Caenorhabditis elegans: one gene and its partner. The protein of the gene in region 2 interacts with the protein of the main gene of each other region in a pairwise test. Each region holds a gene or a part of one and is shown on either strand. Other genes may lie near its edges.

Region 1 (7,842 bases), on a different chromosome or scaffold from region 2:
TGAATTTGCGCGTCAAATATGGCGCATTGGGTCCGCGCGCCTTTTGCAATAAAAATACGGTACTCGGTCTCCCCACGCGAAATATCTCGTGGCGAAAACTACAGTAATTCTTTAAATGACTACTGTAGTTTCGATTTACGGGCTTGACTTTCGAAATGATATTTTCAAATTTCTTGCAAACTTTTAATATTTTTTCGATAAATAAATAATTTATTTTATTGAAATAAAATTAAAATTATGCAAGAAATGAGAAAATATCATTTCGAAAGTTAAGCCCGACACTACAGTAGTCTTTTAAATAATTACTGTAGTTTTCGTTACGAAATATTTTGCGCGTCAAATATGTTGCGCAATACGCAATCTCAGGATTTGTGCTATTTTAACACACGTGGTGTCAGAATGTCCCATGTCGGTTTGATCTACGTAGATCAACAAAAAAAACGGGAGTTTGAGACACCGACTTCTGAACTGATTTTGCTGACGTCACATTTTTTTGGGCGAAAAATTCCCGCATTTTTTGTAGATCAAACCGTGATTGGACAGCCTGACACCACGTATTAATAAAAATCTTAGAAAAAAACACATTTTTCGCGTTTTTTTTCGTACTTTTTCTTGGAAGTCTTCAAATCTGTCGAATCCGAAATAGTGGCCTTAATCAGATTGATAACCATTTCAGGCCGTTTCGTATTCTGATTTGTGTACAGCAAAAGATAATGTCCACGTAGACACATCCATATTTTCGGCCATTTATTCGTCAGCTCATTCGCATTCAGTTCCGCCCGTGTTTTCCGCCTCCGCACCCATCCTTCAAACAGTTTCTCCATTCCTGCGTAGGCGGCTGATATTGGTGAGCCCGGTAGATCGTCGGGGTTCGGTGACCACTCGGTTTGACTCGTCGACATTTGAAATTTCCCGAATGGCGCCGGACTGCTCACACTGTTCATTGATGACGTGGATGGGGATGGGAGTACGCCGAACGCTGATTCTTCCACTGATGACGTCATTCGGCTGGAATTTCAGGGTTTTTACTGTTTTTTGCTGTAAAAATGTAAAATTTCTTTATTTTTACCTAGAAACTGGCAATAATCTCGGCGAATCCAGACTAAATCCGGAAATATTCGAATCACCGACAGCTCGGAAACTTGGAGCCGCAAACTCTTGGTATGGAGCCTTCCAATCTTCGTCTGAAACTCGTGCTTCCGGTAAATTTAGAACTTTCAGTTCTTCTTTGTCGACTTCTTTAATTTGAGCAAACTCGTTGGGACCTGGAAATTAGAAATTTGGATATTGAGATCGTACTAATGGAAATATTCAATTTGAGTATAAACATGACTAGGTTTCACTATTTAGGGTCTCGTTCCGAATACCTTGGGGGTACTGTAGGCTAAACTAGCGAACTAAATTCAGAGCTGTCGATCTAATTTCTTTGAAATCTGAAAATAATCAAAATTTTTAAAAACGTGGTATTTCGCCACAATATACAAAAAATTCGGGGTCTCGACAAGAATTTTGAAGCGAAAAATTGTCGAGTTTCGGAAAAATCTCAAAAAAATTTTTTTTATTCATTTTAAGCTTTTCTATTTTCAGATTAGGGAAACTATTAATTTGGCCTAACTAGACTTCGAATACTGTAGGTCCCGTCACGAAAAACCTACAGTACCCCGAGATTTTCGTGGCGGGACCCAATTTTGCTTTGACTATAGTCGACTTAAGGCTTAATGATTCAAAAAATTAATTTAATTTTTTTTTTCAATTTTTTAAACGAATTTGATAGCGTTCCGTGTAAAAAACTGTTGATGATCGAAAAATTTTGTTAAATTTTGCCATTTTTCTTCTTTTTTTTTTAATTTCAAAATTTTTTAAATTCAAATTAGCAGAAAATTGTATGAATTCTTATGTATTTTTTTCTGGTCAAAACATTTTTTCATTTTTGTTTCAGATTTTGGCTGGCCATACTCAAATTGCAGTCCTTCCGTGCACAAATTTGATGCCAAAAAATGTATTTCTCTAAAAACTTACACTTGACATTAAAAGTCAACTGATCATTGACGACATCATCCTCAATATCAGTAACAAGCTTATTATCAATAAAGCTTCGAACATAACCATCCGGTTGATGACGCATTGTTCTTGTTCTTTTAGCAATTCTTGGAACTAATGCTTCTTCTTCTCCATCTACATTTCGAATAAATTCATGAACATCCCAATCATCTTCATCATCTCCGTCTAGAGCTCGTTCGTCTATATTTTTTCGTTCTTTTCTCGGACACGCAGAGGCTATGGAGGAACGGCGGATTAGGCGGCGACTTATTCGGCTGGAAATATTTTTTTTTTAATTTTTTCAGAATGAAAATATTGCTCTTCTAGAAAATTGATTTTATTTTGAAATTTCAAAAAAAAAAGAAAAAAAACATTAATTTTTTTTCAAATTTGGAGTGAAAAAAGGAAAATTCCGAAAATTCCCAATTTTAAACTTCAAAAATAAAATTTTAATTTAAAAAAAATTAGCAAATCCAATTTTTGTCTTTAAAAATTTTTTTTAATTTTTTTGTTCAAAATTTTGGAAATTTGTTGAAAAAAAATTCTCACATTTTTCTCTCATTTTCCTTAATAATTTCCGAAATCACATGACAACTTCGATGCCTTTTCAATGGTTCAGATTGTCCAAATGGATCATAATCATCTGTTGAATAGGTCTTCGCCGTCTGACTCGACGGAGCAAGAGCTCGAGCCGCCAGCTTCGATTGTTTCGGTAGTTGAGGCTCTCGGGGACGGCGTTTCACGATAAGTGAGAGCTCCAGGACATCCAGAGCTCCAACTTGTTGAACAACACTCGTCAAATCCCATCCAACAACAGTTCGTCCATTGATCATTAGAATTTCATCGCCTGCGTCGATTTTTGTACACGCGTCTGCTGGGGATCCTTCTTTGATTTCACTAATTACATGGACACCACGGTATGAGGATTGAATGTTGAGACCCTGCAAATTGAGATGGGATTGAGGACTCGATCGTTCCAGGTTTTTCCTCAAGAAAATTGAAAATACTGGAAAAAAATATTTTAACAAAATCAAAATTCTGAAAATAAAAATTAAAAAAAAAATTTAAAATTAATTCAGGTTTTCCAAGTTAAAAAATGTTTTTAATATGAAACAAATCGGAAAAATCAACTTATTTCTGCTTTCCGTGTTTGTTTTTCGAAAAAAAAATCGGAAAAATAATTATTTCGATTTATGCTCAACTTTCTGGTTTTTCCTCAAGAAAATGAGAAAATGTTGGAAAAATTCTTCGATCTCTTCGCGAGCGTGAATAAATAAATAAATTTCATTTTTGAATAATTGAAAAAATCAAAAAAAATTTTTTTTTGATGAATTCCAGGATTTTTCCATTTTTTTGTTGTAAAAAACCTACCCAATTAATATTATCAGATCTTCGGCGAAGTAGAGCAGATTCGATAAAACACGCGTACAGGATCAACGGATCATCACAGTCGACAATTTTCTGGCATTCATAGGCCAGCTCTTTTGACATCTGGAAATAAATTTTTTTGTAGTTTAATTTTATTTAAAAAATTTTTAATTCAAGAACGACTGAAAAAATTTCAATTTTTTTAAATTGTAATTCAGTTAACTATAATTTGTTAATTTTTTGCAATAATTTCTAACTTGTGATTTTCAAAAAAAAAACAGTTTTTTTCATATTTAAAGCCATCAGAATTAAAAAAATTACATTTTTTATAAAACATTTTGAGGAAAACAAAACGGATTTTTTTTTTGAGAAAAATTAAACTTTAAAAAATAATAATTCGCTTTTATTGTCTGGAAAATTGATTTTTAATTCAAAAAAAATTATATCGTATCCTGTAATTTTTTTTTCCAATAAAATAAATAATTAATTGTAGAAATTAATTTCTAATTACTTTAAAATGTTCTTAATTAGAAAATGGATGTTTTCTCAATTTTGAAAAAAAAATCCAATTTTTTTGCAGAAAAATCAATTTAAAAAATTTAAGAATCATAGATATTGTCTGAAGAATTAATTTTTTTAAATTACATTTTTCTGGCAAAAATCTGATTTTTTTTTAAATTGAAAAATTTTAAATCCGACATTTTCTGAAACTTTTGAAGCTGATTATTTTTCGATTTCAAGTTTTTTAATAAATATTTTTAATTATTTGAGAAATATTCATTGAAATCTTCAGAAACTGTCTGATTTGAAAAAAAACTTTTCAAATTTTTTTAAAATTCAAATTTTCAGTCAAAATATCCCATCGATAACCTAAAAATCCTCACCCTAACAATTTGACTTCCAGTCTCAAACAAAGCTTTCGGTTGTACATTAACATTTCTCAATAGGTTCCACATAAAAGAAGAAACACTATTTCTAACGTTAATAAATTCGGGTTCCTCGTCAAACGGAGTCCGATCAAGCCAAAAAACGAATCGTTTCGTGTGCTCGGCGAGCTGTAACACTGCATTTGACACACTATTCAGAATATTCACAATTTCCGATCGACGGATCGCTTTCTCCCGCATTCGCATCGCTGACGTCATCGTGCGTTCTACGTAGAGACACGAGGTTTTTACTTGTTGAGCCAGGCGTTGGAGATTCTCGTGTTCCGATTCGTGACACTGAAAATGAAAATAATTTTTAAAAATCAACAAAATTTCTGATAAAAAATCTTGAAAAATTAGACTTTCAGAGTTTTTTCTTGATGTTCAGGAGATTAGTACAAAGCAAGTTTTGAATTTTTCTGCGAAAAATCCAAAATTAGGCGGTAGGCAGGCAGGAATGCCTACTTTGGTTTTTTTTTCCAGAGTAGACAGAAAATCATTAAAACATCTTTGAAAAAATTGCGGAGAAGTTAGTAAAATTCAAAATCTCTTAAAAATCATTAAATTTTTAAAAAATCGACTGAAAATCCTAGAAAACTTATAATTTTTTACCATTTTTCATGATTTTTAGCAGCTTTTTCTGCACAAAATGTTTAGTTCCGATGGAAGTTTTTTCTCACTAAATAGTGGTTTTCTCCGAAAAGACACTTTTTTTCAAAAAAAAATCTTAAAAACTTCAAAAATTTGCGGAAAAGTTAGAATCTCTTCTGAACTTTGTGGAGCTTTACAGCTGATTTTTAGAATTGGTTGAAAATTCAGCAAAAACTGCTGAAAATTCTATTTCGAAAAAAATCCATTTTCCTGTTGAAAACTCCATCTTACAAAGTAGAGAAGCAACGAAACAGCCTGAAAAATCGTTTTCCTAGCTCCGAGAGCCGAAATGCCAATTTTTTTGAGCGAATCGTCGTCGAGAGCCTCCAATTGTTTTCCGCTTTTTATATTGTCACGAATCATGCCCAAATATGGATTCATTTGATCGCCAAGTCCTGGAAATTATTAATTTTTCAGTGAATATTTTTTTCCGCGGCGATAAAAACCTTCAATCCATCTTGCAATTTCTTTTCCTTTCCACTGCTCAACACATCGGGCAAACGAGAGTTGGGGCTCGTAGCTGGCGGAGAGCATCGGACTTCCCGAACGGAGACCGGATGACACTGAAATTTAAATTTAAATATTTTAATGAAGAAATCTGTTTTTTTTTCAGTTTTTGTGGATTTTTAAATCAGAAACCGTCCAATTTCGCTGGAAATAGCTTCATTTTCGTTTAAATATGTAAGGTTTTCTGGAAATATCGCCAATTTAATTGAAGAATCAATAATTTTTGTGGATTTTCCCAATTAAAAGTTTCGCAAAAATCAATTTTTTACCTGTTTCTGGTGAATTATGTTTTAAGCTAAGGTGCCGGGTTAGTGAGGACATTAAAGTCCTTGAAAAACAATTTTTCGAACAAATTAGTTTCTTCCCCGGCTACAGTATCCACGGTTACTGTAGCCGAGAAACTGTGCCCACCTGAACTAATCCCAGAGGAGATTCCCAACGCCTGTTTGGCTTCAAGTGGTGTCGACGGAAATCCCATTGTGGTTGAGAACATATTCAAAAATTCGGAACAATCACAACATTATGCTAGTTTGGCTGCAGCTGTAAGAATCCAGAATTTCCCAAATTAATTGTAAAAATTGAGGAAAAAGTGCAGAAGGTTGCATAAAATCAACAATTTCTTTTTTTAACTGAAAACAAACACTAAAATTGATTGATTTTTCGCGAAAAAGTTATGAAAATAAATGAAAAATCAAGTACAGTACTAATTAAAAACAAAAATTCCAAGAAAAAAGGAGCATTGCTCAATTTATCGAGCGGGTCCTATGGAGAACTCGGCGTACTCCTCTCGGAGGAGACGTGGCCTAGAATTCTCCTCGTCCCTGTCGATTTACGATGTGACACGGCCTCCACCACGAGAAATGCGCAGAGAGAGCGCAGAGAAAAAGGCGGTCTCTGCGTCTCTCACCTCCACAACATGGCGAGAGTGCGCGCTCAACCACCTCACTTAGAACGAGTCGGGAAGAAAGGAAATTGCATATTTCTGAAAAGAAACAATTGGAACGGATAAAGAGTACTGTCCTCTACAGTCTGGCATAAATTTCACAGAATAGTTTTGTCATTGAAATAAGTGAAGAGAGTGAACATAATATTACACATTCCCCTCTAAAACGAGCAAGTTTAAGATTTTTTCCCAAATTTTTTTTGTAAAATGTATTCAATATATTCCCAATTAATGAGTTAATACAAAAAAACCCCAATAAATAAGTTATGAGAGAAACTTTTTTTGACATCAAACATTTACAGCTCAAAATTTCAGCACTTTCCGGAAGATAGTGACCGTAAAATGAAAGATTTCAAAAATCGGAAACAATACGATTGTTCTAATTTTTAATACGCACATTTTAACATATCACACATAAAAATCCGTCAATGTTGAAAGATGTTATTTGATCTAGAAGGTTGACTACAGTACTAAAATGACCAAATTTTCAGGAAATAGTTGGCTTGGACTCAAAAATCGGAAACAATACGATTGTTCTAATTTTTAATACGCACATTTTGACATATCACACATAAAAATCCGTCAATGTTGAAAGATGTTATTTGATGTAGAAGGTTGGGTGCTTTGATACAGTAGTACCCACTCTACTGCGCCCTCACACTTTGGATGCTCCTATCTCCGCTCCTATGAAAGTTACAAAAAAGTTGTCAACTAACAAAATGTTCAGTGTGACATTGTGAACATTTTTTCTGTTGACAATATTTTTCTAACTAGTAAGACAAATTTTTTACAGGCCCCGAAAGCCGTATTTATGAGAAAATCAGAGATCAGTTCATAACTCAAAAAATAAAGACATTAGAAGAAAGTAGTCAACTACAAATTTGTTAGATATCTTATATAGAGTATGTTTCCGATAAAAAACTCAATTTTAATGTTCAGGATTTTTTGACATGGCCAGTTTAAGATGATCAATTTTCAAAAGTCAAAATCTATTATTTTTGTAGATAGAAATGTAGTTTTTGCTGGTAAATGTTGTTTTTTATCTGCTTAACATTTTCTCAGTTGAACATATTTTTGTATCTTCAGCGAGAACAGAGATTTGATGGTTTTAAGAGAGGGTACTGTAACTGGGACTTCATTCATCAAATCATAGCTATATCTTTTTAGTGGAACGAGATATCAAAAAATTGTCAACTAAAGAAATGTTCACCTATTTGTGATGTTCATTTTGTCAGTTCACCGCTAGTTTCTATCTCCAACGCGAAAAAAGTTGTAGTTCAAAGTCCATAAAGTACATACACTTCACCACGAGAAGAGCGAGAATCAGCCCGAAGCCACAGTCGTACATATTTTCTTTATTTAAGCCGTTCAAATACACTCATCGTACCATATTTAATAATTTTCAAT
Region 2 (5,051 bases):
AAACGTCATAATCCTAGTTCACAATGAGCACGATAAACCACAAAAACCAGTACACTTGTTGGCGCATATTCAATTTAAAATTTTCAGCAACGAAAACGTGAATCCCCGCTACCATCCGACGACGGAGAGCTCAGGGATGCCACAGGAAGATCCGGGTTCCCATATCCTTGCGGCTACATTCACGTGCTCCTGAATATCCTAATTTTTGTTTGGTAAGACTTTTTTGATTTTGAAAATTTCTCAGCTCATTTGATGCAGAATTTTGCGCTGATAATTTTTGTAATTGAAAATTTCTTTCAATCTCTAACCGTTCAAGAGATATGCTCGTTAGAAGTTGGTGGGTGCGAGAGAGAGGGGGACGCAGACGACGAGGCGCTCTGCTTCTCTGCGTCTCTCCCTCTCCCTCTTCCAACTTTAAACCCCTTTAACTCTACAACCAAGAGAGCTATCAAAAAACTTTCAACTAACAAAATGATCAAAAGTTCTGCTAAACATTTCGGGTCTCAATTTTCAGGTGCATATTCGGCTGCTACTGGGTGTTCGGCTCATGGACGGCCCGTGCCTACTGCGACTGGTGGACCTACAATATTGCCACGTTTTTCCTGTTTTTCTCAATTTTTTGGCTGTTCATGAGTGTTTTTTGTTGTTGTGTGTTAACATTTGTGAAATAAAACATTTTTGAATTTGTTAGTTTGTAGGAATTTTACCAAAATCATAGCTACAACAACTAGGTAGGTGTTGATAAAATAATAGAGTAGGGCAGTCCAATTTGTATTTTGTATTTGGTATTCCTTTGTCAAAAAATATAATCTAGTACTATTTTATTAAATTAAACCAGCACTTTACATTATCTCTGATTGTGCAGACATCTCACTGAATTAACATCAATAGTTACAGGTCCGGTTCCGGCGTCTGCCGTATAGGTCCACGTCATATCAGCACTATTGCAGGTTACAGTAATTGTTACTTCTTGGGGTTCGAATTGGCCTTCCAGTGGAATTGTTTGTGCATTCAATTGCATTAAAACGGTGTACCCATCAATTGCAGAGCAGCTAATTTTCATTGTGGAAGTGGAGTCGGCTGTTCCGGCAATTGGTGTCGACATGAAGCTGGAATAAATATTTTAAGTACGTTTTTACAACTTAAATTCATGATTCACAATTCATGAATTCATGCTTCCAAACTAACTCTGAATAGGTAACATCGACCATCGTTTGAGGCTGATTAGCGTCTCCCACTCCCAACATTACCGCTTCAGGATTACACTTCCTATTCTCAACTTGTTGGCAGGTCACAGTGTCAAGCGCCTGTGTGGATGGCTGTCCATTCACCATCGTCACGTAGTTCCATATCATATCTGCAGTGTTGCACTGAGCATTTATAGTAACCGTCTGGGGAGGTGGGTCCAGATTGTTTTCCACTGGGGTGAAGGCTCCATTCAGATCCATTTGCACGTTGAAGTCGTCGGCTCCAGAGCAAGTGATTGTCATTGAGGAGACGCCGGCTGTAGTTGTAACTGCTGAATGTGTAACATCGATGGCGACCTCAGGGGTTTGATCGTCTCCAACTCCATAAGTTATCAACGCCGGATCACATGGCACCGGCTCCGGATCCGGTCCCTCTCCCGGCAAATTCTGAACTTGTTGGCAGGTCACACTGTCAAGCGCCTGTGTGGATGGCTGTCCATTCACCATTGTCACGTAGTTCCATATCATATCTGCAGTGTTGCACTGAGCATTTATAGTAACCGTCTGGGGAGGTGGGTCCAGATTGTTTTCCACTGGGGTGAAGGCTCCATTCAGATCCATTTGCACGTTGAAGTCGTCGGCTCCAGAGCAAGTGATTGTCATTGAGGAGACGCCGGCTGTAGTTGTAACTGCTGAATGTGTAACATCGATGGCGACCTCAGGGGTTTGATCGTCTCCAACTCCATAAGTTATCAACGCCGGATCACATGGCACCGGCTCCGGATCCGGTCCCTCTCCCGGCAAATTCTGAACTTGTTGGCAGGTCACACTGTCAAGCGCCTGTGTGGATGGCTGTCCATTCACCATTGTCACGTAGTTCCATATCATATCTGCAGTGTTGCACTGAGCATTTATAGTAACCGTCTGGGGAGGTGGGTCCAGATTGTTTTCCACTGGGGTGAAGGCTCCATTCAGATCCATTTGCACGTTGAAGTCGTCGGCTCCAGAGCAAGTGATTGTCATTGAGGAGACGCCGGCTGTAGTTGTAACTGCTGAATGTGTAACATCGATGGCGACCTCAGGGGTTTGATCGTCTCCAACTCCATAAGTAATCAACGCCGGATCACATGCCACCGGCTCCGGATCCGGCCCCTCTCCCGGCAAATTCTGAACTTGTAGGCAGGTCACACTGTCGAGAGGTTCGGTGAACGTTTCACCATTGATCACAGTCACGTAGTTCCATTTCATATCGGCGGTATTACACTGAGCATTGATAGTAACTGTCTGGGGTAGTGGATCCTGGTCGTTCTCGGCTGGTGTGAAGGCTCCATTAAGCTCCATTTGCACATTGAAGTCAGTGGCTCCAGAGCAAGTAATTGTCATTGAGGAGGTACCGGCTGTAGTTGTAACTGCTGAATGTGTAACATCGATGGCGACTTCGGGGTTTTGATTGTCTCCTTGTCCAAGAACAAGTGTGTCCGGAGAGCATGCTGGTTCTGAAAGTTTTTTTTGGCTTCTCGGATATTTTTCGGATTTTTTTGGAATATTTTAATACATTTTCACAAATTTTTTTCACTGGAAATCCCCTGAAAGTTGAAAAATGGTCCAAAATTAAGCCTAAGCCGTAGCCTAAATCTAAGTCAAAGCCCAAGCCTAACCCTAAGCCTAACTAAGTCTAAACCTATGTCAAAGCCTTAGCCTAAGCCCAATCCTAAGCCTAAGCCTCAACCTAAACCTAAGTCTAAAACCCTTTGAAAAATCAAAAAAACGCTATAAACCCAAGCCTAAATAGCGTCAGAGCTAACGCTCGCCACTGACGCCAAGCTTAAGCCTAAGCCTAAGACTAAACCATAGCCTACGCCTAACCCTAAGCCCAAGCCTAATCCTAAGCCTAAGCCTGAACCAAAGCCTAAGCCTAAGCCTAAGCCTAGGCCTAAACTTAAGAAAATCGACTTACCTGCCGGAGCCACCGTACTTGTCACAATTGGCTGCTGTGGAGTCTGAGTAGCGAAACAAGATTCTGAATTTTTAGCAATTAACAATAGAACCGAAAAGCTTAGCCAACAGACTAAGGAAGACGACATGTTTAATGGAATGAATCAGATCAAATCACGGAAGAGGAGATCAAGATGAAAAATTTCTCAAGGATTTAATGATATAAAAAATCGAAAAGCAGGCAGGACAGGATATCTTTGATTCCTCTATGTCTCTAGTTTCGTTGTGACGTCGGACTGATTAGAGGAGAGATTTTCGTAGCATTGTCGCATAGTTATCAAAAAATCAGGATAGTGATCGGAAATCAGTTTTAATCTAGATATAAGATTATAAATATATAGATATAATAATAAAATAATAGATATAATAATATAAAATTGCAGATTTCAGAAAAAACCTTTGATCTCCTTTATCCCTGAAACAAAACGTGCTAGCAAAAAGTTGTCAACTAACAAGATGCTTAAAAATATGTGATGAATAATTTGTTAGTTGACAACTTTTTGATAACTCTTCCCATTTTAGAGTTACAGGAAATGTTTATTAAAATGTGATGAATATTTTATTAGTTGACAACTTTTAACATTTTACTTTTACCAGCTTTTACCGTTTTAGAGTTACAACGGCTCAAATCCAAGTTGCTTCTTTTGGGGTCCTATGACAGAACCATGGAACAAGACAGGCAATGTGAGTTTGATACGAAAAAATGAAATTCCTGAAGATTTTAACATAAAATCTTGATCTCCACCGCTTATAGATTATACTCAAAGATCAGAAAGTGCTGAGAGTCGCTGATTGGTGCAAACGTGGGCGTGGCCGAGCGGTGATTGGTCAAGAAATTATGTGGTTCATGTTTCTTTGTTCTTAACATTGTTCGATCATATCTAGAAATGTGATGTTAATATTAATATTGACAGGTGACTTTTTAACATATGTCTTATGCTGAGCCCCCAAACAATCAATCTCCTCATTTTTCCTGCCAATTTTGAGCACACTCCTTCTAGTAACATGTCAGAAAGCTTGAATATTGACTTCGAGGTCCCCGAGCATTTGATTAATCACTATTACGTGTCGGGTACAATTGCATTACTACTCAACTTATTAGTCATATACCTTCTGTTGTTTCAAAGCGGCAAGCTAGACAACTTTCGATTTTATTTGCTGGCTTTTCAGGTAACTTAAACAAAATATTTGTATGTTCAAAAAAATCTTTGAAAAATTCCAGGTATCTTGTACGGCATCTGACGTGAACATTGCCTTCCTATTCCAGCCTATTCCACTATTTCCACTGTTCTCTGGATATGGGCATGGGTTTATGTCACGTTGGTTTGGCTGGAGCACGCATACGCTATTTGTAAGCATTTTGAGCAATTAACAGTCAAACAACAAAGCCAAACTTTCAGACCCTATTCACATTACTCCTTAGCGGTCAAATCGAGGTTCTCACAATATGCTTCCTCCGCAAGTACAAGGCAATCATGCAGCTGAAAACTTTATCAAACCCGTCAAGTAGCCTAACCTATATTATAATCTACCATTTATGCATGTCCTACTCACTGGCTATCACACTCGCATGGTACTTCAGCGAGACTAGTAAAGAAGATCAATGGAAGTTGATTAGTCAAGACCATCCGTCGCTGGTCCCGAAGTATCAGCAGCTTAATGAATTTTATTACACATACTTCAACAGTGCATATATTTTTATTATATTCCTAGTGCTCACTGCTGCTGGAACCTTAAAGACGATCATTGTGATATCTCTTCTAGTACTTCGAATGTTTAAAGTTCTATCAGATGTTAAAAGTCGCCTATCGAAGGGGACACTGAGCAGGCATAAGGTTGCGCTGAGAAGTTTGATTATGCAGGTACAGG

What was found.
Region 1: the proteins of B0454.8 (region 2) and cnk-1 interact in a two-hybrid assay, tested with the Caenorhabditis elegans proteins (one large-scale study listed by BioGRID).

The regions. Positions count from the first base shown.
Region 1 is NC_003281.10:10,269,447-10,277,288, reverse strand, and holds the start of cnk-1 (Connector enhancer of kinase suppressor of ras), read right to left. Parts: upstream 6,033-7,842; 5' UTR 5,986-6,032; coding exon 5,904-5,985; intron 5,857-5,903; exon of another isoform or gene 5,814-5,856; coding exon of another isoform or gene 5,762-5,813; intron 5,549-5,761; coding exon 5,432-5,548; intron 5,381-5,431; coding exon 5,217-5,380; intron 4,632-5,216; coding exon 4,293-4,631; intron 3,532-4,292; coding exon 3,412-3,531; intron 2,982-3,411; coding exon 2,590-2,981; intron 2,316-2,589; coding exon 2,020-2,315; intron 1,266-2,019; coding exon 1,070-1,265; intron 1,009-1,069; coding exon 607-1,008; intron 1-606.
Region 2 is NC_003280.10:3,040,136-3,045,186, forward strand, and holds B0454.8 (C6 domain-containing protein), read right to left. Parts: upstream 3,324-5,051; 5' UTR 3,272-3,323; coding exon 3,145-3,271; intron 2,684-3,144; coding exon 1,189-2,683; intron 1,110-1,188; coding exon 848-1,109; 3' UTR 808-847; downstream 1-807. Other genes in the region: B0454.5 (uncharacterized protein), read left to right, coding at 88-212, 515-671; sri-29 (Serpentine Receptor, class I), read left to right, coding at 4,188-4,352, 4,405-4,533, 4,583-5,044.